Linked DNA regions of Elephas maximus indicus. The protein of the gene in region 1 binds, or shares a complex with, the protein of each later gene. Links are inferred from orthologs where the notes say so. Each region holds a gene or a part of one and is shown in the gene's direction. Other genes may lie near its edges. The genes, in order: RHOA, ARHGEF28, NET1 and PKN1.

Region 1 (7,368 bases):
AGAGGGGCCAGGCCTGTAAGGGCTGATGGGGATATTCCTTTTGGGCACCCCACGATCACTTTTCTAAGGAGCTGGCATCATCTCTTCACCTGTGCAAACCATTGCATTCTGGGTCCTGAAGAGCAACAGCCCCTGCCGCCCTGGGTGTTCCCACTTCAGTTACCCCTGTGCACGCATGGCCTTGTCCTGTCTGAATAACCACACGACTGATCCACTTCCATTTTTAATAAGCCATGTCTTCAGTTGAGCCTGTGTGTGGTGATGGTGTGTGGTGGACCTGGGAAGACCATCAATCTGCTAGCCAGAAGATATCTCTGGAGTGTGTTCATCACAGCCCCCACTTCCAATGCCCCTCTGCCTTAAGGATGGCCTAGGCAAAGGCTGCCATATCGAAACGTGACCTCTAACTGGGAGGAAGAGGGCAGTGGGACACTGAGGTAGCTGGTAGCCCAGCAGAGGCAGGCAGAGATATTGCCATTAGAGAGTGAGGCAGGTACAGGGCCTCATTGCTTTCAGCAACCAGTGTTTCTTTGGGGATGTTTTGCAACACACACCTTTGGAAGCTCCCCTGGCCTGCTGTGGAGGTGGCAGGCCTGCCTGACCTGTGGCTCTTCTGCATTGAGATGGTGCTGGTGAGGAGATGCTAAGCCTTGGGGCTCTTAGGATGAGGATCCTGTTGTTCCAGGTCAAGGTGGGAAGTGATGAGGATGCAGTGCATGATGGGGCTGCTCTGTACTAACTGCCCAGTACCTCAGTGAAGGACATGGTACATACTCAAGACCCATAGACACTTCAGTGCCGGGGGTGGGAGGCCACCCCAGGAGCTCAGCTGGTGGGCTCTGCCCCTTTCAGGCACCCAATTTTCCCTCCAGAAAGACTGAGGAATATGAATAGGACATTTCGGAAATGACAATTTCCTCTGCCTGGGTCATACCTAAAGAGATCTAGATGGGCCAGGGAGATGGTGTTCAGTGCCTCCATGATTGAATGGTGCTAGCTCCCCCTGCCATAGGACCTTATATCTAAATAGCTAAGTAACTTCTCAATACTTCCCAGTGAGGGAGCAGGGTGCAGACCTGAGACCCCACGGGCACTTCAGCAGTGCGGGCAGGAAGCCGCCCCAGAGTATAAAGCCTGGCCCAGGCCAGGATACCCTGGCTCCCTGCCAACAAAGCAAAACCAAAGGAATCCAGGGAACCCAGGGCTTAGGGGAGAACAGACTTCCTTACAAATCCCATGGCTGGTCAACCGCAACCTCATCCTCTCAAGGAGACAAATCTCTATGGGGTCATACCACAGGGGGATGGGAAGAGGGCCAGGAGATATAGGACAGAAAATGGATTGTTGGCTTCCCCAATCCAAAGGCTTCTCCTGAGCTCCAACCCCTGAGAGAGGAACAGCATACTTTTCCCCCTTAAGGCACACAGATCAGGGTAGAGGCAAAGTTCACTGACCCAATGCCTGGGACTGTTGGAGGCAGGGCTGAGGGCAGCAGAGGCCCAGCCCTGCAAGTGCTAAGGTACTCCCTGTCCCCAGCCCCAATCCTCCTGTAGTCATCCACAGGACTTGGCAGCAGGAGAACCCAATGTGGGAGCCAGGAGACTCCCTGTTGCCTTCTTTTATTCTCTGTGGGTTTTGAGAGGTTCATTTGCTGCAGTTTCCCTGAAAGTGATGGAGAGAGAGAAGAGAGGGGTTATTTCATGGGCAGCAGAGCAGTCCCTGGGATTGGCTCATCCCAGACCCTTCTTGGGAGCTGAGCTGGGCTCAGTAATGCCATACTACGATCCAGACCTCTCTGCTGAGCTTTAGATTCCTAGTGCCTCACAGGCCCCACAGTCCACACTGGGCTCAACACCTTCCCCCTGCAGACCTGTTCTTCCTCCTGGGTCCCCACCTTATGGTGCCACCATCCTTCCCCAGTTGCACAAGACAGAAACCTGGGCAGTGGCAGGCTTCCTAACTAGCCTATTGCCTTCACTCTTGGACTGCTTCATCTTGCCATGACACAGGCAGTTATAAGGCAAATTAGATCAGGCCCCACCTCCTGGAGTCCTTCAATAGTTTCCTGGACCTTAGGATAAGGGCCCTACAGGTCCCTCCTCTCCATATGCTCATTCATTTCTAAGCTCCTATGTATTATAGGGGCCACCATTATATTTTGGAAACAAATAACCTGTATTCTAGGTTTCATCTGTCCACAGATGGAGAGGAATTTTATCCCAGGTTGGAAAACACCCAGAGTGTCACTCATACTTGATTTAGATGATTCAAAAGATGAGATTTTGGACTTAAGAGTGGACACTGGAATGGGTTAAGACTTTTGCGATGGGATGAACGTATTTTGCACATGGGAAGGAAATGGAACTTGGGGTAGACAGAGGATAGAGTGTTATGGATTAAATGTTTCCCCCAAAAAGTTATGTTGAAGTCCTAATCCCTGTTATCTGTAAATATGACCTTGTTTGGGGAAATAGTTTCTCTTTTCTTATCAACTAGGTCAAATGAGATCAAACCAGAGTAGGGTGGGCCCTAGTCCTAATTTCTTTTGAGGGGTGTCTTATAAAAAGGGAGTATGTCATGTAGTGGGAATATAAATGCCATGTGACAATGAAAGCAGATGCATCAATAAGCAGCAAGGAAAAGCCAAAGATTGCTGGCAGCCACCAGAAACCAGGAGAGAGGCCTACATAAGGAATCAACCCCAATTTGGCTTAATTAGACTTTTAGTCTCCAGAACTGTGAGAAATTAATTACTGTTTTTTACGGCAGCTCCAGGGAACTAAGACAGAATTTGGTCTCAGCTCAGATTAGCTGAATGACTGCCTGATTAGTGAGTTCATGTTTCACACATCAGGAGGCTGGCCTTGATGAGGCCAGTCAGTGCTCTAAGGACAGAGACTCCTGGCTTCCCAAATGAGGGGCTTACATTGGAGAGGAATGCAACAGACCTGTCACTTCATCTCTCTGAAATTGTTCCCTCATCTGTAAAATGGTGATAATGTCCCTACCACCCACTCCACAGGTTGCTGGACAGCATGCTTAGAGAAGCTGTCCAGGTATCAGTGTCACCCCCAGCTTGAAGCCTGAGTTCTGGCTGTACACCTTGGAGCTTGCTGCAAAGGCCACTAAAACTGGTGGACTCCCACCCCGAGAGCCCCCTCCCACCACCTCCGGCACAGGAACGTCCTCTGCCTGCCAAGCATGGGGCTGGGGTGGGGACAGATACTCACCAGGAAGGAAAATGCGTGGAGCCATCAGGTGTGGATCCGTTCTGGCCGCCCAGACCTGGGGGCAGGAATACAGCCAGAGCTGCAGCAGGCTGTGGGGTGGGGCTCTGGGCAGGCATCAGCCCAGGTTAGGTTAGGAACCAGTTATATTGTTTGGTGAAGAGTCAGGTGGGGGTCCTAAGGGATAAGCGGTATTGTCTGGTGGGAATTCGGGGAACGTTACAATGCGATGGGTGGGCTGGTGGGGATTCTGGCGTGAAATGATATGGTGGCATTAAACAGTATGGGTTCAGCGTCAAATTCTGATAAGACTCTCGGAGAACCAGCGGTAGTCTAGGGAGATCCTGGGGAGCCGTACAGTCCGCTGGGGGCGGGCGGCCCGCGGAGGTTGATGGGGAACCTCACCTGGGCGGTGATACAGCCCGGTCACCGTGTTCCCGTAGAACCCCCACGCCAGCTGGATGCCCAGGAGACTTAACACCAACCACAGCAGCAGCAGCTTGAAGAGAGTCACGCGCATGTCCTGCGCCTCCCACTCCCGCAGGAACTCGCTGCCCAGGGCGCCCAGTGCGCCCAGCACCGTAGCCGGCAGAGCCTGCAAGGACTGCCCGGACCAAGGCTCCGCCATGACTGGCCTGCGCCCCACCCCAGGGACTGTCACTGTAGTCCCCACCGCGCAGGCGTCTAGTTTTCCGGGGCCAGGCCGGTTAGTGCGCACGCGTGAGCCCAGGCGGGGAAGGCCTACCGCGGTTGCGCGAAGAGTTGGCAGTTCGGGGAGGAGTATTTACGACGCGCACGCGCACCTAGACCCACCCGGCTTAAAGGATGAGTGACTCGAGGGGTATAAAATAGCAACCAGGTCTTTTATAGCCCCAGAGTTCCCGTGATGCCCCGTGCGGCTGCAATGATTGGTTAAGCGCCTTGCTCTGAGGGCGTGGACACGCTCCTGAGCAATCGTGGCTGAATTGTGAGTGCGCGCGCGTGCGCGGGGCCGCGACTGTGGCCGGCTCGAGCCCGCCGGGCGCCCGGGGGCGCGCACGTCGCTCCCCGCCCTCCCGCCACCGCCCGCCCTCGCTCGCTCGAGCTCCCCGCCCGCCGCCCGCCGTCCTTCCTCGGTTCTCTCGTTAGTCAGCCGCCGCCTCCTCAGCGACCAGCCAGCGCCTCCGAGCTCGCGACTCGCGGAGCGGCGTCCTCGCCACGAAGAGGCCGGACTCGGAGTCGCCGCCAAAGGTGAGCGGGAGGGTTCACTCCCAGCGCCGCGGCGCCTCTGGTCCGCCCGCTCGGCACTGTTCCGGTCGCCCGCCTGCCGCCCCTCCGCAGCCGCGCCCCACCTGCTGCTTCCAGCCGGTCGCCCCCGGTGTCCGGTCCACGGTCCCCGGCCCATGGCTTCCGGCTCTCGGTCCCGGCCCCGCGCCCCGAGGCGACGCCCCGCCCGCTCAGGCCCCGGAAGCGCGCCCCGCCGCCGCCCGCGCCCCTTCCCCCGCCCGGTCGGGCCTGGTAGATAGAGCCCAAGCTGCCTGCTCGTCCGCCGCCCCTCCCCAGCGCTTCCTCTCACTGCCGCGCCGGTTCCCCGCCCAGCAGTCGCGGCGGCCGCGCCGGGTAGGGCGGGGGCTCCGGATCCGGCCCCGCGACCGCGCGGTACTGCCGGCCTTTGCGACTCGCGCGTGGCTGTAGGAGTTGAAATGGGAAAGTTACTCTTTACAACTCCATTTTGCTTTTTTACATTCAGTGTAATATATGAATGTTTTATGCTGTTTGAATTCAGTGTTTGGGGTACATTTCCTTTTTTAATGTAGTGTTTTTGGAGATTGTGTTGTAATCTTAGGGATCAGGGCTATTTGTATTGTAAAATAAGAAAAAGTGAGGACGTTTTCCGCTTGAAAAGAGCATTTTTTATGATCTATGTTCCACCAAAATAGAGTATTAATTTGCAATTTTAATTAGTCCTTTTTATTATTTTGATTAGGAAGCATCTAAACATTTGTCCCTAGTTACTGATTGGATCCACAGTTACAGGTAGTCTTCATTAAATAGCATTATTTGCGCACAAATCGATTTGATCAAAAACCATGTCTAGTAGTTTATGGCGGAAAAATGACATATTTTTTGCCTCAGAGTTGAGGAAGAAGGTAAAAAATGACACTTTTTTTTTGATAGTTTTGATTTAAGAATTTTACCTGTTTGTGATCTGGTCGGTTCTTTTTTTCTTTACCCTTTTGAAGTAAATTTTTTCTTGCAGGCGTGTAATCAATTATATTCTTCTCTGCCAAAAATGAGGGAAAAAAATACTTCTGTATTAAAAGCTTTTTTTAAATATTGTATGTGGTGAGAATTTTTGAGCCACTTTTAGTTTTGTTTTGAGTTTTAGTGTCCCCCACACAAATGTGTAGTCTGGACATGTACATGATTGTCACCTTACCTGTACCCGTTGCCCTTGGGTCGATTGTGACTATAGGACCGAATAGAACTGCCCCATAGGGTTTGCAAGGAGCACCTGGTGAATTCAAACTGCTGACCTTTTGGTTAGCAGCTGTAGCTCTTAACCATTATGCCACCAGGGTTTCCATTAGACATGACTGAATTGGTGGTCATATTATTTTGAGGGCTTGGCACAAGTGACGTTGTTTGCACTGAAAATACAAGACTTTTTCTGAATTGTAAAAGATGACTTATTGAGGTTATCTTCTGATAAATTGTATTAAGGATAGTTCCTATCTACTGTGGTAGATCACTGATGGCTCTTGGGAATGTAACAAAAAATATGATATGGAACTTGCGCTTTGAGTCAGATTTTAGTCCTAGAGACTTATGATCTCTGTTCTCATAAGAGATCTGTGCTGGAGGGAGAAGAGAGTAGGAATATAGCTATCAACTGACTTCATAGAACCAGAATTTTAGACCTGGAAGGAATTTTCAGGACTTGTAATCCAACCCTTTCCCCTCCCTTTTGCAGATGAGGAAACTGAGTCCCAGAGACTTAAGTAAATTTACCAAGCTCACGTATCTTGTTGGGGGAGCAGATTAGAATTTTTTTTTGTAAGGTATTCTCCACGCACTCCCGAGTATCAGGCCTAGAGTCAGCTAAAATCCAGGGCTTCCAACTTAGTCCAGTGTTTTCCACTTTTACACCTTGCTGGTTGCCTTTGGAAACCCTAGTGGCATAGTGGTTAAGAGCTGACCGCTGACCAAAAAGCTGGCAGTTCGAATCCACCACGCGCTCCTTGGAAACCTTATGGGACAGTTCTACTCTGTCCTGTAGGGTCAGTATGACTCGGAATCAACTTGAAAGCAATGGGTTTTTTTTTTGGTTTAGGAGAGTCTAAAAAAATTTGTCAAACAAATTACAGTTCTTTGGCTTTCACAACACTCTCCTCTGTATCTGGGTGGTCCTGTAGCAGTTAAATGATGCAGATAAATGAATGTGCAGGGTGAGTGGCTGGCCTAGTCCTGGCTTTGGGTATTTGGGTCTTCTTGATGAACCAACTTTTTCCAGAGGGGAGTCCAGACTTCCTTTCTCCAAATCCATCATAGTTCAGCCTAAAATGTTATCAGGTAACTGTGGGCCTTTTTGAGTATTGATTTGGAGTGGGTTTGGGAGAAACTGCTCATATCAAGTAAACAGTGCATGTGCATGTGTGAGAGTGGTTTTGTTGTTGGAGTTTTTTCATAGTCCTGATTCTTTGTCAGTTAACTCTTTTAAAAGTTTGTCCTGGTCATGTGGGGAAACCCTGGTGGCTTAGTGGTTAGGAGCTACAGCTGCTAACCAAGAGATCAGTAGTTTGAATCCACCAGACACTCCTTGGGAACTCTATGGGGCAGTTCTCCCCTGTCCTAGAGAGTCCCTATGAGTTGGAGGCGACTCCTGACGGCAGCGGGTTTGGTTTTGGTCATATGGTGGTGTAAGTTATTAGGGGAGTAAAACAGGCAGATCTTCAGGTGTTTCCTGTCCATGGGGTGGGGTCCGACCAAGCAGTGACAGCGGGAGCTGAGGTGCTACTTAGGGTCTTCTTAGTTGTCCTAGAGCGGAGAGATTTGTGTTAACTCTGCCAGGAGACAGGCTGGTATTTCAGCTTTTAAGAGGTTTTTTTAATTTGGGTTTGATGAGCTTTTGTAGATAGCAGCTTGAGTTTAAGCATTACGG
Region 2 (7,151 bases), on another chromosome or scaffold:
GTACTTTATATATATATATTTTTAGACGGTTTACAGAAAAAAAAAACTAGTTTCTCATTAAACAGTTAGTACATACATTGTTCTATGACATTGGTTAACAACCCTATGACATGTCAACACTCTCCCTCCTCAACTCTGGGTCCCATGTTACCAGCTTTCCTGTTCCCTTCTGCCTTCCAATCCCTGCCCTGGGGCTGGTGCGCCCCTTTAGTCTTGTTTTGTTCCACAGGTCTGCTCTGTCTTTGGCTGTAGGGTGAGCCTCAGGAGTGACTTCATTACTCAGCTGAGAGGGTGTCTGGGGGCCAAACTCTCAGGGTTTCTCCAGTCTCTGTCAGGCCAGCAAGTCTGGTCTTCCTTTTTGAGTTAGAATTTTGTCCTACATTTTTCTCTAGCTCTGTCCGGGGCCCTCTATTGTGATTCCTGTCAGAGCAGTCAGTGGTGGTAGCCGGGCACCATTTAGTTTTACTGGACTTGGTCTGGTGGAGGCTGTGGTGGATGTGGTCCATTAGTCCTTTGGACTAATCTTTCCCTTGTATCTTTCATTTTCTTCATTCTTCCTTGCTCCCAAAGGGGCGAGACCAGTGGCATACTCCAAAATATTAACTGCCACTGTTAGCTGCACCCTTAGTATGTGTCTCATATTGACTTTCAGTCATTTAATCCTCATAATGATAGTAAACATTATTCTTATGCCCATTTTACAGATGGAGAAATGGAGGCTTAGAAAGATTGGCTCTTCCCAAGTTTGGCTCATTAGTGAATGAAAGAGTTGCTGTTTGGACTTGGCAATTTTTACTTACAGAGCTTACCCCTAACATCATCACTCTAAACCCACGATCTCCCAGTATCATACTTTCATTTAAGAAACACTGATAATTCCCTCATTCGTATGGCCAAACATCAGATTTACAATTATTCAAGTTTTGAGAATTATTGGCAAAGGAGATAGACTAAAGGGCGGGAAAGAATTAAGTAGATAATAGAATCTGAGGTGGTTCTAATACATTTTTAAAAGTTTGAAAAGAGTGACGTACATTTTCCTTCCTGTATAATTAACATGATGTTGTTGTTAGCTGCCATCGAGTTGGTTCCGACTCATAGTGACCTCATATACAATAGAACCAAATACTGCCTGGTTCTGTGCCATCCTCACAATTATTGCTATGTTTGAGCCCATTGTTGTAGCTACTGTGTCAATCCAACTCGTTGAAGGTCTTCCTCTTTTTCACTGACCGTCCACCTTACCAAGCAGTAGTCTCCCCCAGGGACTGGTCCCTCCTGATAACATGTCCAAAGTGCATGAGACAAAGTTTCATCATCCTCGCTTCCAAGGGGCACTCTGGCTGTATTTTCTCAATGGCAGATGTGTTCATTATTCTAGTAGTCCTTGGTATATTCAGTATTCTTTACCAGCACCATAATTCAAAGGCATCAATTCTTTTTGGTCTTCCTTATTCATTGTCCAGCTTTCACATGCATACGAGGTGATTAAAAATACCATAGCTTGGGTCAGGTGCACATCAGTCCTCAAGGTGACTAATAGAATGACTATGATAGTTAAATTAAAAAAGCAAATATTTTATACTCTAGATGTGCCCTGTATTAGAACTGTGGAGATTATAGGGATAAGAAAGTCTTTGTCCTTCAAGTGACAAATTGAAAAAAAGGATAAGAACCTGTAATCATCCAACATATGACAGTGAATATAATCAGTTGCTAAATTGTGTGGTAAGGCCATCATTAAGCTTTGTTGAAGTTCAGAGGGTGGCAGAAACCAGGATAGTGAAGAAAGGTTTTATGGAGGTTTGTCTGGCGTGAAGTCTGTCAGGATGAATGGAGAATGAATAGCTAGAAATGACAGGAGCTGAACTGGGCACTGGCATACTGCTCATTAGGAAGTAAGAATTTTCCCAACTGAATTACCAAACTGGTTTCTTGCTGCCTGCACTTCCCTTGTCTTTGAATTCTAGACAAAAAGCTGTCCCAGTCGAGCTTAGCACTATCTCAGTGCCCTAAGTGACCTATATCTGAAGCAGTGAAATCAATCAGATGAAAACGGTTAGCTTCCTGTTTCATACATTTATGGGCTTCTTTTAAGGTTGCTGGAGTACACTTTGTTTAACATTTGAACCTAGAGAAGTTGAAAGCCAAGTACTTATTTAAATATTGATCAAGCTCTGCTTGAGAGAAGGCAAGAAAACTGCAGATAGCATGATTATATAGCCCCAGTTCGGGAGGGTTTCACAATTACTAGTTTTCCTTGTTTGTTTCTTTTTAGTATGAAGGAATTTTGGTATAACTTCTCATAATATTTATTCCTCCTCACACTTATTATTTTTTCTATCTACATACCACACAGAATTAGTGGGAAAAAAATTTAAGGGGGAAAAAAAAAAACAAAAAAGAAAATACACAAAGATTCAATACTGGTAATGTGAAAAAGGAGAATAACAACAAAGGCTTCTAACACACCCATGTTTTTGCTCATCAGTTTGGAAACCATTTTTCCTGGTGTGTTGATTCAGTTAATCCACAGTAGACATATTAGGGCTGGGAATCATTTTTATTTTTGAAAAGAATATTGCTTTTCTTTTCATCTTGAGTACCTTGAAGTCCTGGCAATGGGCAGGAACTTCTCCACCACCGCTGTGCTTGAGGCAGGTTCACAGCTGTGTAGGGTGGAATCAGCCAGGATTACAGCCATGAGTCAGAAGTGCAGTGCCAACGCTGTGGGCCTCCTTGTTAAAGTGGAATAGGCCTTGACCTTTGCCTTGGAACAGGGCTAAGGACTCCAGACACAGGGACTTTTTATTGAGAACCTCAGGCTGTCTTCTCCTGCCTTCCCTTCTTCCTCCAGCTCATATCAGCAAGGTGGGCTGGAGAAGGTGAAGGCAGGAAGGGAGACAGCAGAAATGGCCAAGGCCCAGGAGAGGTGATGGCGAAAGCGGAAAGTGGCCAAGGAGTGAGAAGGAGTGATTCTTTCTGGCCCAGTGCCTTGGTGGACAGCTTCCTCAGGCCACGGCCCAGTCCTGGTTCTGGGGCGGCACGTCTATACAGGACAAAAAACAACAACAAAAGAACCAGACACTCCAGGTAATTACAAGAAAAGTTAAATCGGTTTTTCTTTTAAAGCTGCTATAACTGTCTTCCTTTTATGAAGGCCTGGCTGATGGAGATGAGATCCTGGTGGCTAGTGGTTAAGAGCTACGGCTGTTAACCCCAAGGTCGGCAGTTCAAATCTACCAGGCGCTCCTTGGAAACGCAACGGGGCAGCTCTACTCTGTCTGATAGGGTTGCTATGAGTGGGAATCAACTCGATGGCAACCGGTTTGGGTTTTTTTTCGGGCTGATGGAGAAGCTTCCACATTGGGGTTGTGATCAGTTCTAACTGGAAAAGCACTTTGGATAAAAGAGTCCCTTTCACAGTGTTGTTCCTTGTTTAAAAAAAAAAAAGAGAGTTTTTGAATTATGATGACTTTTAATGGAGCCACTTGCGTGCATGAACTAGGAGAATCGCAGCTCTGCAAAGCTCTGGGCCAGAGGAACATGAGCCTCTTGAAATAAGAGGGTGTCTCTGCTGATTTTTAAATAATACTGCATTTTTTTTTTTTTTTTTTGCCTATTGTAATAGACCTGGGCCATATTATGTCACGGGTGTGGTGGCTTTTGGCTGAGGACAGCCTGAACCTCCGTAGGGCCTGGCACAACTCTTTTCAGCAGAGGGTAGGCCAGGTCCTTCCTCCGCCGGCGCCGAGGCTATGCCCCTGGGGCCGGGCCCTGCGGGCGCAGCCACCAGGGCGCAACCTCGTCCTTCCCTGGCCCGGCCGGGCGGTGCAGCCGCTGCGCGTCTTGGCGCTGCGTGCAGGGTGAGGGAGGCCGAGGAGAGCCTGCCTCAGCCCCGCGGCGGGAGGGGGCTGGTGGCGACAGCCCAGTCGGGCAGCTTCAGGTTTCCTCCTGGAGCCGGTGTCGGGCCGCCGAGCGGGCCGGCCTCGCCATGTGATGCCGCAGTTGCGAGCCGGGCCGGGAGGTTGGCGGGCGGGGGGATCCAGTGGCAGCCGGGAGGAGGGGGGGAGCAGGGGCGGCCCCAGTTACCAGCTCAGCCAGCCCGGCCCGGGAGCGCGGCTGCGGCTCCGCCCCTCCGCCCTTGCCCGAGCTGTGCCGCCGCGGGCGTTGGCAGCTCTGGGGAGAGCCTTCCCGGCTCCAGGCGGCTGTGGTCCTGGGGCGCGTTCCGGGGCGCCCTCGGGCAGGGCGCGGGGCGCAGCGCCTCACCAGGGCTCCGGAGGCAGCGGGGCCATAGCTCCAGGTAAATGCTGTTTGGGACTCCATCCACCGCGACTCCGGCAGCCCTGGGCGGAAAAGTTTGTCTACCTGAGTTTGCAACCGTGGGGACACTTTCTCCAGGGTCCCAGGGGACGCATGGGTCAGCAGTGGTGGAAAGGGGGTGCAGCTGCGGGCTCGGCTGCGTGAGGGATGGGCTTCGCCTCCCAGTTCCCCCGGGACTGCAACAAGTGCAAAGGGCTGCACAGCCGGGCGCGGCGGCGGCAGCTGCGGAGCGCGGGGTCGCTCGGGCGTCGCGGCCCCGAACGCAGCGGGAAGGCGGCGGCGGCCTTTCTCGCCCTCGCGGGCCCAGCTCCCCCGACGGGGGATGGGCGAGTGGGAGCCCGGCCTCTGCCCTTCAGGCGCCGAGGAAATAAATGGCACACCTGCCGTGCAGTGGGGGTGCTGGCCAGGAAGAAGGGAGAGTCTCGAAAGCTGGGGTCCTCCCTCCGCATCCGTGCATTCGCTCTGGGGCCAAGGGTACTCGGCGGGGCTCAAGCTCGGAACACTAGCGATGCAGAAGCGCTAACAGTTATTTCGTGGGGAAACAGTTGCTGTGTTTTTTTCTTAAAAAAATTTATAGTTATTTTGTTGGGGGGTGGTGTCAGAATTCCGTCAGACTTTCTTAGGTTTATTTTATGGATTTTTTTTTACCCCTCTCGAATATAAGGCGTGTGCGTGTGTGTATGTGTGGGGGTGGGGTGGGGGTGGGGATGGGGGGACAATAACCTTCCCGAGTGTAGGGTCTCCAAAGGGGTCATAATGAGGCATATGTGCTAGGCAGAGGCGGCATCCTTGCCTAAGGAGGGCTGCCTGGAGGTTGGGTGCTGGGGCCGCCCTGTAAACCCAGCTCTGGTATCCCAGACACCAATTCGGTTTCCAGGAGAGAACCCATCTGCCTTCCTGGGAGCCCACCCCGTCCCCCCTGTTGGTTATACCTGGGGTGGGATGAGGAAAGGTGGCAACATCAGTGTTTGCGCAGCGTCTCTCTCCTTGACCTTGCCTGGGTTTGGCAAGTTTCCTAAGACCTGGCACTTTGGAGGTTTACCGCTGACTTGCGCCAATTGGGCAAGAAATATGAAAAATTAAGACGTTTAGAAAGAACTGATCATTTCAGGTCCCATGGGGTCCCTGGTTTTCTGAAGCTTTGTCATCGTGTGTTCCTAGGCCCTGAAGCTGTCAGGGTAAGCGAAATTGTTTTCACGGTTAAAAAAAAAGAAAAAAAAAAAAAATCAAAGACCTGATTCTGTTAGGTTTGAGGGGAGGGGTTCCTCTTTGCGCAGGACAATCCAAGCAGAGTGATAACTTCACCTGGGAAGGTTTCTATGCATCTTTCCTGGGTTTTTATATTTTAGTTCCAGTTGCCCTTCAGTTGAGCCTGACTTATGGCAACCCCATGTGTGTCAGAGTAGAACTGTGCTCCATAGAGTTTTCAGTGGCTTATTTTATGGAAGTAGATTGCCAGGTCTTTCTTCGAAGGTGCCTCTGGGTGGACTCAAACCTCCAACCCTTCGGTTAGCAGCAGAGCATGTTAACCACTTGAAGCACCCGGGGACTCCTGGGTTTTTCTATACACCTTCTTAAAACACATGGGAGTTTGCCCTGTCTTGACCAATGGCCAAGCTAATCCCTTTGGAGTATCTAGAGAAAAGAAATGAATACTGCAAAAGGTTTTGGAATTTTTAATACAATATGATATTTCAATGTAATGTTCTGATGTGGATTTCATATGTAGTTGTACTCATTGACTTTTTTTTTCTCATTGACTTTTATCAAATAAGAATTTGGACAGCATCCGATCTCATATTTAGTGGTGAAGGAAACCGAGGCACACAGCTAGCTATTGAGTATCTGACTCAGATGAGTGTCCTGGCTAACAGGAGAATGGGGAACAGAAAATCAGTGTTTGCCCTTTTGACTGTATTTTTTTTCCTTATCAAAACCACATAACCTGGCCAAGCAAGAACAGGTTATGTAACAGGTGTGCCATAACCTCTGAAGCATCCATCCAATCCTTTAAGCAGTTTGGAAATACTTAAAGGTAAAGAGGAAAGCAGTAATTGGTCACTAAGGTTCTATGAAATTTCATCAGGGGCCTCACTTGGGTTTCACACCCTTTTTATAATGTGAATACTGGAGAAAAGTTTGGAATAGTTTTTCATTGTGCTCTTATAAGAAACTACTGCTTGTGGCTTAGACTTAAATTGGGCCGGAATTTCAGGTGAGCTCTGATAACATGACCTCCTTTAGTATGCCATGTGAGAAAATGAAACGTGTTCTAAATAGGTATTAAAGCAAATAGCAGAATATAATATTACTTTTATATTAAGCTTTCTGTATAAAACTGGTTACCACTTAAGCTCTAACTTCAAGTCCTCCCAGAGTTTATGATCAAGTGCTGACTCTCCAGATAAAAGATTTATGATACAAATGTTGGAAAACCCTTTACTATTGGGGCACAGCTAAGATGGTAATAAACTGAGCCCAGATGACTCTCAGACTCCCAGGCTGACTATAATTTTATTATGCTTTAATTTACTGATCAGATATGAGAGATCTGGTTTATGTACATTTTCTCTAATTGCATTTGTACTTAGGTTGCTTTCAGTGGGCAGAAAAGCTATGGGATTTTTTTCCCTTGTGACCTTAACTAAGGTTTGTTATGAAGAGGTGGGTCAAGCCGGGCAACTCCTATTGAGAAGTGCTAAATTATAAACAGTGTTACACTTGAAATGCACCAAATTCAGGGAATTTTGCCATGTTAAGAGTTGTACTGTAAATATTATGCCGTCCTATAGGGCTTGGGTCTAGATCCTTTACTAAGGCAAAGCCGG
Region 3 (7,992 bases), on another chromosome or scaffold:
GATGGATTAATGATCTGAAACAACCTTTTCAGTCTTCTGATACTGAACATTGACTCAAGATTCTCTCAGGCTCATCCCTTAGAATAGTAATTGAACATTCACATGTTCGTTGCTCCTTTTTTAGACACTATCTACAGTTGTCTAAATTATAGTTAGACCACAAACCTGAACATACAAAATGAAACTAAGATTTTAGTGTTAATGATTTGGGATTTTTGTGACTATCATCTCTAGACCCTATTGGGCTCATGTAGTGTCTATTTTTATATAAAATGATTTCTACCTTTACCTCCTGGGTCCTCAGCTAAAGGAGAGAAATGAAAACTATCCCTTCCCCTCATTATCTTGACTTACTTCTATGATAACTAAATGGAAAAATAATAGTTTTGAGAAAGACATGGGGTAAGAGACCCGTATGACGCCCATAACAGCTTTTTCTCTAATTCTCATTGCACATAGTCCTTTATTCGTGAAACTAAATGACCATAAGTACTGGCCTTACTTGCATCATTTTTTAAGTGATTAAAGTAACTGAACCAAACTACTGGGTTCTATCCCAGGCTCTTCCTATTAGCTCTGAGAATTTAGGTGGATTAGTTTTCTTGCCTATAAAATTAGGGAACTGGATCCCACAGGAAACCCTGGTGGTGTAGTGGTTAAGTGCTACGGCTATTAACCAAAAAGTGGACAGTTCGAATCCGCCAGGCGCTCCTTGGAAACTGTACAGGGCAGTTCTACTCTGTCCTATAGGGTCGCTATGAGTCGGAATTGACTCGACGGCGGTGGGTTTGTTTTGTTTGGGGATCCCATGATCTACAAGGTGCTTCTACTTCAGTGCTACATAAAAATACCTTCTACAATCAGCCACAATCATACATGCTGCCCAGATGTGGCCAGGTAATAGAGGATAGATGATAAAATATAACCAATACCCATTACTTAAAAAAAAGGAGAAACAAAAACAATGAACACCTCAAACCAGACTGATGAATTACCATGACCTTGTATACAAAGCACATTGGTGGCTACAGAAGAGCAGCACTGGTCCTTCTTAAAAGAAGTAACACTGTCCTACAGACCTTAATAAATCTCTATATAGATTATTTGTCTTTATAAATAGTCAGTACCTATTATTTCTTACTCTGCCCTATTCATTCTTCAACCCCTGCAATTTACTTTGTTTATTCCACTGAACTTCCACACTTGAGGTCACTGTTAAACTTGTGATCACTAAATTCATGAATTTTTCCTTACCCTCCTTAACCTATTTTCAATAATTAACACCTTTTCTTCCCTTGGATTCTTGCTTTCTCTCCTTGTAATTGTTAATTCTTTTCTCTTGACATTTATCTTAGTTATCTAGTACTGCTAGAAATACCACAAGTGGATAGCTTTAACAAACAGAATTTTATTCACTCACAGTTTAGGAGGCTAGAAGTCCGAATTCAGGGCGCCACCTCTAGGGAAAGGCTCTCTCTCTGTCAGCTCTGGTGGAAAGTCCTTGCGTCCTTTCATCATTTGTGGGCCCAGCATTCCTTGGAGAACCTATGTGTCTTGGCATCAATATTCCCCTGGGTCTAGGAAGTTCAGCACAGGGTCCCCAGGTCCAAAGGACATGCTCCACTCCCAGCCCTTCTTTCTTGGTGATAATAGGTCCCTCTCTCTCTGCTCACTTCTCTCTCCTTTTGTCTCTTATAACATAAAAGGTGATGCAGGCCACACCCCAGGGAAACTGCCCTTACATGGATCAGGGCTATGACCTGAGTAAGGGTGTTGCATCCAACCCTAATCCTCATTAACGTGACATAATTGAGGAATCATGGAACGAGGAATATCATTGCTGATGTCAGATAGGTCTTGGCTGAAAGCAGAGAATACCAGAAAGATGTTTACCTGTGTTTTATTGACTACGCAAAGGCATTTGACTGTGTGAATCATGACAGGTTATGGATAACACTGCAAAGAATGGAATTCCAAGACATTTAATTGTGCTCATCAGAAACCTGTACATAGACCAAGAGGCAGTTGTTTGAACAGAACAAGGGGATACTCCGTGGTTTAAAATCAGGAAAGGTGTGTGTCACGGTTGTACCCTTTCACCAAATTTATTCAATCTGTGTGCTGAACATATAATCTGTGAAGCTGGACTATATGAAGAACACAACATCAGAATTGGAGGAAAACTCATTAACAACCTGCAACATGCAGATGACACAAACTTCTTGCTAAAAGCAAAGAGGACTTGAAGCACTTACTGATGAAGATCAAAGACTACAGCCTTCAGTATGAATTGCACCTAAACATAAAACAAAAATCCTCACAACTAGACCAATAAGCAACATCCTGATAAACAGGGAAAATACTGAATTTGTCAAGGATTTCATTTTTCTTGGTTCCACAATCAACGCCCATGGAGCAGCAGTCAGGAAACCAAATGACATGTTCCATTAGGCAAATCTGCTCCAAAAGACCTCTCTAAAGTGTCAAAAAGCAAAGGTGTTATTTTGAGGTCTATCATGCGCCTAACCCAAATCCATGGTCTTTTCAGCTACTTCATATGCATGTGAAAGCTGGACAGTGAATAAGGATGACCGAAGAAGAATTGATGCCTTTGAATACTGCAAAGAATACTGAATGGACTGCCAGAAGAATGAACAAATCTGTCTTGGAGAAAGTACAGCCAGAATGTTCCTTAGAAGCAAGATGGCGAGACTTCATCTCACATACTTTGGACATGTTGTCAGGAGGGACCAGTCCCTAGAGAAGGACATCATGCTTGGTGAAGTAGAGGGTCATCAAAAAAGAGTAAGATCCTCATCGAGATCAATTGACACAGTGGCTGCAACAATGAGCTCAAGTATAACAATGATTTTGAGGATGGCACAGTGTTTCGTTCTGTTGTACATAGGGTTGCTATGAATCGGAAGCAACTCAACGGCACCTAACAACAACAATCCTGCCTCATTAACATGATGGACAGCTTATTCCCAAATGGACCATAACCATAGGCATAGAGACTAGGATTTTCAACACATCACAAAATGAATGATAATGAGATCACAAAATAGGACAAGCACACAATACTGGGGATCATAGCCTAGCCAAGCTGATATATTTTAGGGGGATGCAATTCAGTCCATGAGACCATTCATCCAAAATTAGGTCTCTTGCTCTTTTTGTCCAGATTTTCTCTCCCAGGCATCTCCTTCATCCCCAAGGCTTCAACTCTCACTACTATGTGGCTGACTCTTCAGCCTAACTCTACCTCTCTTCTGCCTAAATCTGCCTGTCTTCCAAGTCCCTGTCCAACATTTCTAACATCTAGGTGAGTATTTTCATTTGTCTGTTCTTCCATCACCTCAGACTCAAGTATATCTAAAATGAAACAATTTTCTTTCAAAACTTGTTCTTATTATTTTCATAAACAGTTGCCCCTCCCATCTTAAAATCTTCAGCTTCTTTGACTTCTTGCATATATTGTCTCTTGCATGTATCCTTTTCCTTCCTGATGTCCTACCTTAGGTAAAGTTCTTGATACCTGATTATGATTTTTGCATTGCTGCCAATCATCTTTCAGACCACCTCAAACACTAGTCATATGTCTCTTCTTTCAGCATGACTTTCGTTACCTCTCTCACCTGCTCACTAAGACCTACTCCTTTTTAAGCACAGCCCATTACCTCACAGTTTGAGTTTACTCACTCAATCTACTTTGGAGCCTTGCGCTTTTCCCTTGCTGAAAAGCTGTCTTGTATTAGTTATATCTTCATGTGGCCTATCCACAATGGTATTAGCACTTAGGATCAGATATAAAACCTTTTATATATATATATATGTCAACCACAGTATCTAGAACAGTGTCTTTTTCGTAGATTTCTCCAATCCTAAGAATAGAAGTAAAATCATTTTTTGTGAAACACTGGCATCAGGTCATTCATAGTAATATACAGTTAAGTTAAAATCTTACCTTTCAAAATAGAATACAGTACTTTGTGTTAAAGAAGAAAATCTGCTTCATAGCAGACCTACCAGAGCAACAGAAATCATGTTGTTCCATAGAGAAACGGATTCAGACTAGAAATGTGGAAACTGTCACTAGTATATGACTTTGGGCAGGTAACTTCTCTGTGAGGCTCATTTCTTCCTGTGTAAAATGCAAGATAGTTTAAGTAAGTCTTTTGATTTCTATTAGGAATTTATCAAGATTGGTTAGTTCAGAATAAAGACCTCTGTTATATATTTTTAGAACAAATCACCTTTTATGTATTTTTATAACATCTAGTATACAGATATCAAATTTTAAAAACATACAGAAAAAATACCTACTATTAAGTCTAAGAAATACTGAACTTTATCCTCCAAAGTAACCCAGTTATGCTTTGCCCATAACCCTATGGGAGATTTACTTCAAGAATAGAGTAAACTTTATTTACCCTGCTGGTCTTACGAAAAAATAGTGGGAACCATTTTCTAAGGGCAGGCAATTTTACAGTTGTGAATATGTTTGCAACTTATGTAAAATAAAAGCAAGTTGCCTGGGTAATTAGGTTTTTCTTTAGCCTATACAGTTATTTAACTCTGAATTCCTACTTTCTTGCTTGAAGTTGTCAATTGTGCATAATAAATTTCTTCCTAGGTGAAAGGGTTTTTATGGGAAAAGTATCCCTGCCTGTGACTAAAACTAGATGAGATAACCTAAACAAGCAATTAGTTCTCCATTGGGAATGCTTTCTAAATCAGGAAGAAAAGCTTCTGCCTTACATTAACCCAACTTCCTTTTCCCTTCTCCTCTTATTTTCTTACTATAGAAATTCCAAACCTATCGATAAAGAGCTTTCTCTTCCACAGCGAAAACGGAGAAGCCTAGGTGTGCCACAGCTGTCAGTTAACTCGCGTCACGTGACCCCCTAGGTGCACGCCCACTAAGGCTAGTTCGCTGTTTTGGCCCCGCCTACAGAGCCTTGAGGTCTGTGTGCTTTTACCCCAGCTCTCAGAAGCTGTTAGTTCCACCACAAGGAAGAGACATGGGCAAATGGCTGCCAAGGGTGGGTGAGGACTCAAAAGAAAAGCCTGTGTGACTCAGTAGTGATCCGAGTCAGCAGAGCTGACGCGGATGTGGATCACTTGTAAAGATTTTAAGGAATACTCGGTAAAGCATGGTGGCGCATGATGAGATTGGAGGTCTCCTACCTATTAAAAGAACTATTCGAGTCCTAGATGTTAATAATCAGTCCTTCAGAGAACAAGAGGTAAGACTTTAAAATAAAAATTAGGCAAAAGGAATGTTTTCTAACTCCATGAAACTTTTAAGATTTTTAACAATTTATTAACAGTATAATTTTAAACTTTTGATCTAACAATTTAAGTATGGTTACTGAGTGTTAATATGTATGACTTTGATTATATCCAAGTTTGAGAAGTGTGCTTAGGAATTGTGGTATAGGTTTATTACATGGTATAGCTTGAGTGTACAGAAACTTCTATGCGAAAGGAAAAAGATTTTAAGTATATAAGCTGCTCAGTTTGGTTAAATTGGTCACTTTTCTGATGTTCTATATATATATATTTTTTAAAGTATATATATATATATATTTTTTTATCGTATTTGCTTAGCCTTAGGAACTGCTTTATGGGGTAAGAAGAAAAATAAGAATCCCTTCCTTGTAAGTTCATGCTAGTGGATAAATTGCAACTAAAGTGCTATCTGACCTGGTGTGGGTTTTTGCTTTTTCTTTCCACATCTATTAAGTTCATTGTGTGCTGCTTTTGTTTTCTTCAGAAAGAAAGATACGTTAAAACATTTAAGCACATGATCATTATTTAAATACTTTGAAGTCATTATAGTTCTTAAAAATCTTGATGAACATTTATCAAAGTAAATCAAATGCTTTTTATACAATTTTAGGTAATCTTTACAGTTAATTTAATACTATACGGTATTGTATTAATTTATATACTGCAATGTATATTATGTGGTATATATCATCACTTATGTTAGAAACAGTGTTTCTGTATTCAGTCATCTATGTATCTATCTTGATTGTAGTGGTGGTTTGGTATATACCTACTCAAAACTTACCTAATCATACTTTAAATATGTGCAGTTTGTTGTATGTTAGTCATACCTGAATAAAACTGTTTATCATATATGTACAACATATACTTTTTGGTAGCTAAAGTAGCTGCCATGTTTAGGAGGTACGCTTTTACTTGGCGTGGTTTGGCTTTGGTTATTGTTTTGTTTTTTGCTTACTTAGGTTTTGGTTTTCTTGATGTGTCTATATTAAGCAAATCAAGTACGTGGTCATCAGTGTAAATACTGAACCTGATAATCATCTTTTGGCCCATCAAGAGGCAGTCTTTTTTGTTTGGTATTAGACATGGGCCATGTTTCTGGCACAGCTGTATTCAAAAGATTAAAAACACCAGAAATGTTGTCAGGTTTTTAGAACTGGTAACATAGCCTTAAAGAAATGACTTACTTGAATATTCCTATTACCCTTCTTACTAAGTAGAAAGGGAAGAAATCCTATCATAACTCATTTTTATTTTTTTAAAAATAGCCTTTATTTTCATTCTTCTTATTTTAAACTTCTTGCCAGGTACTAAGGAAAATTATTCATTTTGTAATCCAAAACAAATAAACTTAGACACGTACTGTCTTTTTTAAATGTCTTGATTTAATTGACTATAGAAAAACCTCCTAAAATAAGCCCTCTTAAGTGACATCATTATTAGAAGAAAAACCTTTTTACAAGATGCTGAAGTCATGGCAGAATTTTTTTGTGTTGTTGCATTGACATGAAGGGTACATTCCAATAAAAGATTTTACATTGATCCTAACAATTTACCGTATATAGATGTTCAAAAAATATTTTAAGGTATAAAATCTGAACAACAATTGGATTGTGTAATTAATTAGTTACCCGGTCTGAAGGCAGGATTTCTTATAATAATGTGTGTGATTGCCTAGCTAAACTAGATAGTCTGATTAAAAGTTAACCTAAATAATCAACATGAATTTGTTAAGGGTGTTGGGTTTATGCTTCCCTTCCAAGTAAACTTTAGCCCTGGTGAAAGGTTACCTACAGTAGAAAGTTTCTTGAGTATGCTGGTATTCTTTATTTTCAAAAACGTTCAGATTGTCCTTTAAGGAGAGGGTATAGTTTGAATATCCATAGCACTGTTTCCAGTGCTCCAAAATAAAAACAATAGAAACATTATATAATCTTTACTTTTGGTGGTGGTAGGACGGATATACCCCTGCTCTTTTATAACCTCTAACTATTGTACCTGCATTGTGTGTGTGTGTGTGTGTGTGTGTGTGTGCAGTTCTCTAAAAACAGTCTCTTAGAAATGTGTTTTGTGACAATGCAAATATTTAAGTTCTTAGTAACTAAAACAAGATAGTTAAAATAGTTCAGCTGGATTTCTGAAGAAAAACTATTTTTGGTTTTAGTTCACATGAACCAAATCCTACCCTGTATTTCAAAAGATTGGGAATTTTTATCCCAACCTTATAGGCAACCCGTGATTGCCTAATCTGTATCACTTTTCCACAAAAATTTTCTGTATAATTTTTTTTTCAGGTAGTATACATATCCTGAAATTTAGTAGTATACTGTGCTGTAATCCATATCCAGTACTATGCCTTTACATTTCCATCACACTTTTCAAGTTATTCATTAAAAGTGTTTATGCTTTTGAAATATTAACACTAACAGTTTGTATTGTTTCTGCCAAAAAATCTCCACATGTGCCATTTTAGTAAAGCAGGAAAGTTGCTATTGGATCACCAAAAGCAAGTTGGAAAAGTGGAAAGTCTTCCCCTTCCCCCACTGGTATTTCCTGATTTAATACCACACTTTCTTACCAAGCAAGACATTTTGAATTAGATGAACTTTTAAGAGTAACATATCCTTTCTGGAGAAATGAGATATGGGTGGGTTTTTAAAGGACTGTGGAAATATTTAACCACCAAATACTGCTTAG
Region 4 (7,537 bases), on another chromosome or scaffold:
ACATCGATAAGTGTTCACGGAGTGCATGTGGGTAGTTGGCAGGGTTTCCCAGCTCCATCCCAGGAGGCGCCTGGAACTTGGCAGGCAAGAGAGGGCCTGTCCCTAGAAAAGGGGAGCTCCCGCCAGCCCAGTCCCCGGGTCAAGTCAGAGCCTCACTCTGCCTAATCCTCTTCATCTGTAAAATGGGTCTGCTGAAGAATTAGAGGGAGACACCATATCCCTCAGGGCAAGGGTAATAAACATCCAGGTTCCATGACTGCAGTGAAGGGCTACTCTCTGGGCCTCAGTATGTTCACAGGTGAAAAGTGGGCGGGCTCTGGGTCGGCTTAATTCTTCTTTTTCTCTGTTAAAATTCCCAGAGAGTAGCTCAAAGAAAAATGCAAAGAGAAAACACCGCGCCTGGGTCTCTGGGACAATGTAAACCTCCCAGAGCCACGCGTAACCAAGGTACCTGCAGCCGTCTGTATTTCAGCAGGTCCCGGGAGGACGCCGACCGCATGCAGGACCCACCGCCAGGGAGTGCTCCTGGCCCGAAGCCTGGAGCCCAGAGCCCGGATCCTGGGGACCTTGGAGAAATTCCCCTGAGGTCTCGGCTCTCCCCAAGGGTAGAGCCCGTATTTATGGAGCGCCACCTGCATATGGGGTTCCTTGCAGACCCCATCAATCTTCACAGCCGGCCCCCAAGAAGAGGTTTGTCCACATTTTACAGGGAGAAACTAAGGCCCAGCGGCCACAGGGTCGACAGGGCCTAGAGTCAGCAGCTGAGTTGAGATTCGAACCCCTTCTAATAATATTAAAAATGACAGCAGCTAACATTTATTGAGTGCTTACTGTGTTCTCAGCACTTGACATGCACTATCTCTTTATTTTACCAAATCCCAGAAGTGGGTAAACCCTTTCCATGCCTCAGATGTGGCGCCTTAGGGGTGTGGGTCGTCCTTGAGCCTTAGGGATTTGAACCCAGATCTGTCCAGAACCGTGATTGTCTTCGGGCAGTGGGGAAGCTCCCGTGCCCTTGAATGGCAGACTCTTCAGCAGAATGGGTCCAGGAGGCCTGAGTTTGCAAACGGAGGGGTTAGGTTAGTTGTTATTGTTATTTTTTGGGTTTCGAGGGGATCCCCGGAGGCCCAAAGGGCCCTCCCGGCTGGAAGCGGCTCGCCCTTTGCTTCAGGCAGGGTGAGGAAGTTCCCGCGCGCTTCAGCGCGGGACCCGGCGGCAGGGCCAGCGTGGGAGGGACGGTCAGGGGGGCGCAGACGCTGGACCCCACAGCCCCAGGGGCCGCCGGGAGCCGCGCCCCCTCGCCCCGCCCCCTCCCCGGGCGCCGACCTCGGCGGTCACGTGACGCGGCCGGCCGCTGGGCCCGAGGGCGCGGCGCGCGGACGCGGCGGCCTGGCCGGGCAGGCCGGAGCCGAGCAGGCCGGAGCGGGCCGCGCGCCCAGGGTCGCGCCGCGCAGCCCCTCCGAGCCCCGCCCGGGCGCACGCGCGCTCCTCCGCCGGCCCCTCCCTCCGCGGGGACCCCTGGCGGGCGGCGCGAGGACATGGCCAGCGACGCCGTGCAGGTAGGCGCACCTGCGTCGGCAGCGGTGGGGCGGCCGGACGGCGCCAGGACCCCCGCCCGCGGCTGCCGGGGCCCCCAAAGTGGTACGGCAGGGCGGGGCCTCCGAGCGCCCGGTGCCCCTTCCCTGGGCCGGGACCCCGGAGCCAGCGCGGCCCCCTTCTCTGCAGGTGGAGGTACGGACTGGGAGGGTTAGGGAGGACCAGGAGCCCCGCTGCACCCCAAGCTCGGCCCGGCCCCGAGGACCCGAGCGGGCGCGGTGGAGGCGCGACTTCGGGTGGTTGGTTGGCTGTGCGTCCCGGTACCTGTCGGCCCCCATCTTCCCCCTCCGCAGCGATCAGTTCCCGGGAGATGCAGCTCTCCACCTGGGGCAGGTGGCTGGCGCGATGCCCGGGGAGGGAGGACACCGCCCGGCCCCTCCCCCTCCCCCGCACAACAAAGCTCCAGCGGCCCTGCCTCCGGACTGAGATTTACGATGGTCCCGACGCCACCCAGATTGGCACCTGTTGGCAGAAATGCCCGAGTCACCTAATTAGGTCGGGGGGACGGGGGACCCTCAAGCCTAATCTCCGGGGTACCGGCTGCGGGGTGGGACCTTACCCAGGTGGGCTGTGTCGGGTCAACAGGGAGTGCTCCAGGATTTGGGATTCTACCTGCCGTCCGTTGGCATCAGGGCAGGTTCACCCTGTATACACATACACACACTCATGACTGGCACCAAGCTGCCAGCCAGGGTCTCCCCTGGCCTCCCTGTGCCACCTTGAGGATATCACTGCCTTGGACTCACCTTCCACCTCTGGGACAAGTAGGGCCAGGTTGATCTCCGACTTTCTTTGGCTCAGTGATCCAAGTCTGAGACATGTCCTGTGCCTAGAGGCCCCTTTAGCATCTCACCATGCAGTCGGTTGTCCTGTGGTCTCTGTGTAACAGGTTTTCATCTCCTTTTGCACCTGCCCCATTCCCTCTGTGTCTCCCCATGATCCCCTATGATACCCCCCCCCCCAGTCCTGCTGATGGCCTGCCAGCCTTGCCGAGGAGCTGGGCGTATCTGGTGTTGCCGATCACACAAGGTCAGACCTTGGGGTGGGGTGGGCCGAGGTCCCTGCCTCCACCCCCGGCCCAGGAGGGCTGTATAGGAGCCCCCCTCCCCCGCGCGTGCATGCGCTTGACATGTACCACACATGACCCAGATGAAGGCTGTGATTCCTGCCACGAGGCTCCACCTGTGCCTGGCTCCCCCGCTTTCTGCCCCCGCCCCCCACAATTCCATTCTTGTGGCTGCCTGGGCTGCTGCCCTGTCCCTCTGTCTTCCCCGATGTGTGCCTGTCTATTCTGTGTCCGGCAAACGGATGTCCTGTGCAGATTCCGGAAACTCCCAAGGCATTGAAATCTCCAGACAAGGGGGTCTAGGTCCCAGACTGCTCTGGGGAGAGGGGGTTCTGGGAAGTGGGTGCCCTCGGCTTGGAGCCTCCTGCTTCAGGGTGAGGGGGAGCAGGGATTCTTTGAGGCCAGGTCAGGCCCCTGTGTCCTGGGTTTGCCTTCTTGGCCCTCAGGTGACCCCTCGTCCCTGGGTAGGAGTGAGTCACCCCAGAGAGGAGGGCCCAGGAGGCTGGGCCTCCTGCCCTCCCTCCCTATTCTCAGGGCTCAGTGGCCAGAGGTGGGCCCAGAGCAGCACTCCTCCTCTCTGCCTGGACTTCCCCAATTTAAGCTGGCCTCGCTCCTGGCTGTACCCCTGCTCTGCCTGCTGGGGAGGGTGTGGGGCTGGCCTGGTTGGGAGGGGGTATGTGAGTGCTGTCACTTCCTGTGTGCCCTGGCCACAGTGCCTTTGCCTTTCTGAACCTCCATCCTCCGTTCTGTCATTATAAAAATGGGCTAAAAAAGGTGTTTGCAGAGGAGAGAGACAGATACGGGGCCACTCATGGCAGATGGGGCTGCTGTCAGATAGCTACTGAGGAGCAGTGATGGTCTGGGGTTGAGTCTCTGTCATTTAACCCAGGCTTTCTCAGTCTCGGCCCTCTTAATGCTTGGGGCTGGATCGTTCTTTGCTGTGGGGGACTGTCTTGGGCGTTATAGGATATTGAACAGCATCCCTGGCCTCAAGCCACTGGATGCCAGTAGTGTACCCCTTGGTTGTAACAACCAGAAACATCTCTGGACATTGCCAGGTGTCCCTGGTGGTGGGGTGAAGTTGCCCCTGCTTGAGAACTGCTCTTACCTCTCTAAGCCTGTTTCCTCACCTGTAAAGTGGGAGGATGATAGCAGCTACTCAGGGTTATTGCGAGGGGTGGTCTTGGCCTGCAGCAAACCCTCTCTTGGGAGCAGCTGGCCTTGAGTTTGAGCAGCAGCTAGTGATGACTTTCCTCATCTGTGAAATGGGTTCTCAGAGTGGAGGGAGATAACACAGGTGCAGCACTTAGCCAGTGCTCAGATACTGGATGTTCCTTTTAAAATCCTGGCCTGCCTCCTGCTGGCTGAGGGACCTTGGGGCAAGTTACGGCACCCTCTGGGCCTAATTCCTCATCTAGATGATGTGGTGAAAATAGTGCCTACCTCGAGGAGTTGCATTAGTTGACCTGGGTGGAGCTTCTAGTAACTACTATGGTTAATAGTTGTATCTGAGCATTAGTGCGTGGTTAGCAAGTGTCTGTGGGCTGCTGGTTTTGTTCCTTATCCTAACCCCTCGGTGCTGTCCCCCACAATGTGTTGGTCTCAGGGAGACGCACTGGGCTGGCTGGGTCCCCAGACCTCAGAGCTGTGGTCAGCAGCAATGGGCAGCTGGACTGGGAGGAAGCAGGAAGTTAGACAGCCTATGCCTGCAGGAAGGGGCCCCGCCTCTGCAGAAATTGCTGTACCAACCCCAAAGGGGAAGTCGGGGACAGGGGGCGGGACAGGGGGGCCTGGCCAGAGGGACACGTGGAGCCGTCAGCAGGGCTGCAGGCCCTTGGGAGTGTGGGCAGGTTGTGGGGCTGTGGGGAGCATGTGTACATGTGTGAGGGTGTAGGCTTGTCCACACGGGCAGATGAAAGTGTGTATGTCCAGGTTCTGCAGTGACTCCTGTACACACTCATAGGTGTGTGCATGCAGGTGTAAATGTGAGTAGGTGTGAGAATGTGCACACACTTGTGAAACCTGTGTTCCATGAACACACTCACAGGTGTGGGAGAGTGCACACGTGTGAGCCTGTGTTCTATGTGCACACAGCCATAGGCGTGGGAGTGTGCACACACTTGTGAGTCTGTGCTGTGTGCACAGACATGTAGATATGTACATGTGCACTCAGCCTGTGTTCCTTCTGTACACCCATAGGCACTGGAGTATGCACACGTGTGAGCCTGTGTTCTGTGTGCACATCCATAGGCATGGGAGTGTGCACACATGCGTGGAGCTTGTGTTCTACGTGTACACCCATAGGCATGGGAGTGTGCCTGTGTTTTTGAGCACACCTGTAGGTATATGAGAGCATGTACACATCCAAGTCAGTCCCTGGAGCCTGCATACACTTGTGGAAGCCTGTTTGCCATGTACACAGTGAAGTGCACACCCGTGTACCTTGGGCACCTTCACAGGACAGGGAGTGAGCACAGTCCCCTGGTTGCCTCTGGGAAGCAGGCTTGACCCTGGAGTGGGGCTAAGGGGAAGCTCCCCTGGATGCCCCAGAGCCCCAGAGCTGGCCGGCCGCGGGGGGTGCTGGGAGGTGGCAGGAAAGAGGAAGTGGTGGTGAGAGGCCCTGGCAGGGCTGAGGCTCAGGAAGAGGGCGGGGCCCTCACCCTGGACCCAGGATGGCGGAGCCCTGTCCCCCTTTGGACCAGGAGCTGGAGGTGGGGGCCGGGTACCTGTGGTGGGCTGGTGGTAGAGGACCCCAAATGGGACAGGCTAGGGTGTGTGAGAGATGGCGCCCTTGCCCTCCACACCTCTTACTTTTAGACCAAGGAAAGGAGATGGGGCCCTGGCCTCAGAGCTCTCAGTTTGAAGGAAGGAAATATTTACGGCCCTTTGGGGCTCCCAGGTTTGTGGGGTAGAGGAGGAAGGAGGCGGGGCCTCTGCTCCGGAACTCCTAGTTTGGAGGGCAGCGGAGGGGCAGTGGTCTACCTTTGAGACCTCCTGTGTAGGGAAATGGGAGGGAAGACCGAGCCTCACCTCAGGACCTCCTGGTTTGGAGGAGACAGCAGAGGGTAGGCAGGGTCTTCCCTTGAGACCTCCTAGTTTGGGAGGACAGCAGAGAAAATTGGGGCTTACCTTCGAGACCTCCTAGTTTGTGGGAACAGCAGAGAGGAGATGGAGTCTGTAATCAGGACTTCCTAGTTTAGGGGGAGGACAGATGAGAGATGGGAGCTACCTTCACGGCCTCCTACTTTATGGGGGATAGCAGTAGGGCCACAAGACCTGTCCTAGGGATTTTCTGATTTGGGGTGGAACAGTAGAAAGGAGATGGGGTCACTTATTGGGACTTCCTACTTTGGGGGACAGCAGAGGGGAAATAGTGCCTACTTTCGAGACCCCCTAGTTTGGGGGGACAGTAGTGGGGCAGTGGGGTCTGCTTCCCAGAATCCCACCGCATGAGGAATAGATAAAGAGAGACAAGATTGTCCCTTGGGGACCCCTAGTCTGTAGGGATGGGGGAAGGGAGCAGGCCCTGCCCTGGGCCCTCACAGTTTGAGGGAGTTGAAAGCAGGGACAGGGCCCTGCTCTCACCTCCCAGTTTTGGGGCTCTGAGGAGGTAGAGCAGGCTCTGTCTTTGGGGGTACCTAAGGAGGCTGGGCCCAGGTTGGCTAAGGTGGTCTGCATCCCAGAGCCATCCCCCACTGACCCTGTTGCATCCTGCAGAGTGAGTCGCGCAACTGGTCCCTGCTGGAACAGCTGGGCCTGGCAGGGGCGGACCTGGCAGCCCCTGGGGTGCAGCAGCAGCTGGAGCTAGAGCGTGAGCGGCTGCGGCGAGAGATCCGCAAGGAGCTGAAGCTGAAGGAGGGTGCGGAGAACCTGAGGCGGGCCACCACTGACCTAGGTCGCAACCTGGGCCCCGTGGAGCTGCTGCTGCGTGGCTCCTCGCGCCGCCTCGACCTGCTGCACCAGCAGCTGCAGGAGCTGCACGCCCACGTGGTGCTGCCCGACCCTGCGACTGCTGCCCGTGGTGAGCCGGGGCTGGGGATGCAGGACTCCAGGGGCTCCCACTACCCAGGTGTGCCCCCACTGCCCTCGCAGCCAGGCCTGCACGAGAGGTTCAATACCATCTCCACTGGCCTCAGAGAGACAGACTCTGTCACAGCAACTCTGAGTCTCCAAACACAGTCATAGCAAAGAGCGAAGTCCACATAGCCACCTGACACCCAAAGACTCACATCGACAACCAGACGTACATGCTGTCAACACCCGGTCTCACACAGTCATTCCAACAACCAGACGGCACCCAGAGATGTACCTGCTGTCACACCAACACCCTGACACTCATGCACTTAGTCACACCAACACCTGGATGACACCCCAAAGGCTTTATACTGTCACGTGAATACACAGAGACTTTCACGCACGGTCACACCAGCCTCCAGAGATTCACACACATGGCCTCACCAACACCAGCCAGCACCCAAAAACTTATCCACTGTCACATGAACACTCAGAGACTCCTGCATCCTGCCACACCAACACCTGGACAACACCCGAAAACTCTCACACACGTCACGTCAATGTCTGAAGACTCACACACAGTCTCACCAACACCCAGTGACACCCAAAGACTCACACACATCACATCACATCACATCAGTATCTAGAGACACACGCAATCTCACCAACACCCAGACAACACTTGAAAACTCTCACACACGTCACATCAATGTCTAAAGACTCTCACACACAGTCTCACCAACACCCAGTGACACACAAAGACTCACATACATCACATCACGTCACATCAGTATCTAGAGACACACGCAATCTCAGCAACACCTAGACAACACCCAGAAACTTACATTCTGTTGCATAAAT

The links.
Region 2: the proteins of RHOA (region 1) and ARHGEF28 are in contact, whole or in part, in a crystal structure (PDB 6BC0), measured with the Homo sapiens proteins. The link is inferred for Elephas maximus indicus from reciprocal best matches to the Homo sapiens genes RHOA and ARHGEF28. Residues at the interface, in NP_001300870.1 of Homo sapiens: Arg5, Val38, Phe39, Glu40, Asn41, Tyr42, Val43, Glu54, Ala56, Trp58, Arg68, Leu69, Leu72; in NP_001171164.1 of Homo sapiens: Lys1140, Ile1142, Arg1144, Glu1145, Val1146, Ala1147, Asn1148, Glu1149, Phe1154, Ile1156, Ala1158, Ser1159, Ser1160, Pro1163, Glu1164, Met1165.
Region 3: the proteins of RHOA (region 1) and NET1 are in contact, whole or in part, in a crystal structure (PDB 4XH9), measured with the Homo sapiens proteins. The link is inferred for Elephas maximus indicus from reciprocal best matches to the Homo sapiens genes RHOA and NET1. Residues at the interface, in NP_001300870.1 of Homo sapiens: Arg5, Lys7, Tyr34, Pro36, Thr37, Val38, Phe39, Glu40, Asn41, Tyr42, Val43, Asp45, Glu54, Trp58, Ala61, Gly62, Gln63, Tyr66, Asp67, Arg68, Leu69, Arg70, Leu72, Ser73, Pro75, Asp76, Pro96, Thr100, Pro101, Glu102; in NP_001040625.1 of Homo sapiens: Glu177, Ala178, Glu181, Gln270, Leu271, Lys274, Lys281, Gln291, Leu294, Glu295, Arg300, Lys301, Leu302, Asp303, Trp305, Ser306, Asp309, Arg312, Ser313, Arg314, Val316, Lys317, Leu320, Leu321, Glu324, Gln347, Leu350, Ser351, Ile353, Asn354.
Region 4: the proteins of RHOA (region 1) and PKN1 are in contact, whole or in part, in a crystal structure (PDB 1CXZ), measured with the Homo sapiens proteins. The link is inferred for Elephas maximus indicus from reciprocal best matches to the Homo sapiens genes RHOA and PKN1. Residues at the interface, in NP_001300870.1 of Homo sapiens: Met1, Ala2, Phe25, Ser26, Lys27, Asp28, Gln29, Val43, Asp45, Ile46, Glu47, Gln52, Glu54, Thr163, Lys164, Arg168, Glu169; in NP_002732.3 of Homo sapiens: Glu40, Arg43, Arg44, Ile46, Arg47, Leu50, Lys51, Lys53, Glu54, Glu57, Asn58, Arg60, Arg61, Leu77, Arg78, Ser81, Leu84, Asp85, His88.

What each region holds. Positions count from the first base shown.
Region 1 is NC_064838.1:53,868,138-53,875,505, reverse strand, and holds the start of RHOA (transforming protein RhoA), read left to right. Parts: upstream 1-4,367; 5' UTR 4,368-4,457; intron 4,458-7,368. Other genes in the region: TCTA (T-cell leukemia translocation-altered gene protein), read right to left, coding at 1,620-1,662, 3,231-3,285, 3,633-3,855. UniProt on the Homo sapiens protein: Small GTPase which cycles between an active GTP-bound and an inactive GDP-bound state.
Region 2 is NC_064820.1:77,859,295-77,866,445, forward strand, and holds the start of ARHGEF28 (rho guanine nucleotide exchange factor 28), read left to right. Parts: upstream 1-4,148; 5' UTR 4,149-4,303; intron 4,304-7,151. UniProt on the Homo sapiens protein: Functions as a RHOA-specific guanine nucleotide exchange factor regulating signaling pathways downstream of integrins and growth factor receptors. Functions in axonal branching, synapse formation and dendritic morphogenesis.
Region 3 is NC_064822.1:53,568,564-53,576,555, reverse strand, and holds the start of NET1 (neuroepithelial cell-transforming gene 1 protein), read left to right. Parts: upstream 1-4,982; 5' UTR 4,983-5,156; coding exon 5,157-5,249; intron 5,250-7,992. Other genes in the region: neuroepithelial cell-transforming gene 1 protein-like, read left to right, coding at 2,549-2,569, 3,185-3,259. UniProt on the Homo sapiens protein: Acts as a guanine nucleotide exchange factor (GEF) for RhoA GTPase. May be involved in activation of the SAPK/JNK pathway Stimulates genotoxic stress-induced RHOB activity in breast cancer cells leading to their cell death.
Region 4 is NC_064821.1:33,038,272-33,045,808, forward strand, and holds the start of PKN1 (serine/threonine-protein kinase N1), read left to right. Parts: upstream 1-4,532; 5' UTR 4,533-5,334; coding exon 5,335-5,373; intron 5,374-6,379; coding exon 6,380-6,683; intron 6,684-7,537. UniProt on the Homo sapiens protein: PKC-related serine/threonine-protein kinase involved in various processes such as regulation of the intermediate filaments of the actin cytoskeleton, cell migration, tumor cell invasion and transcription regulation.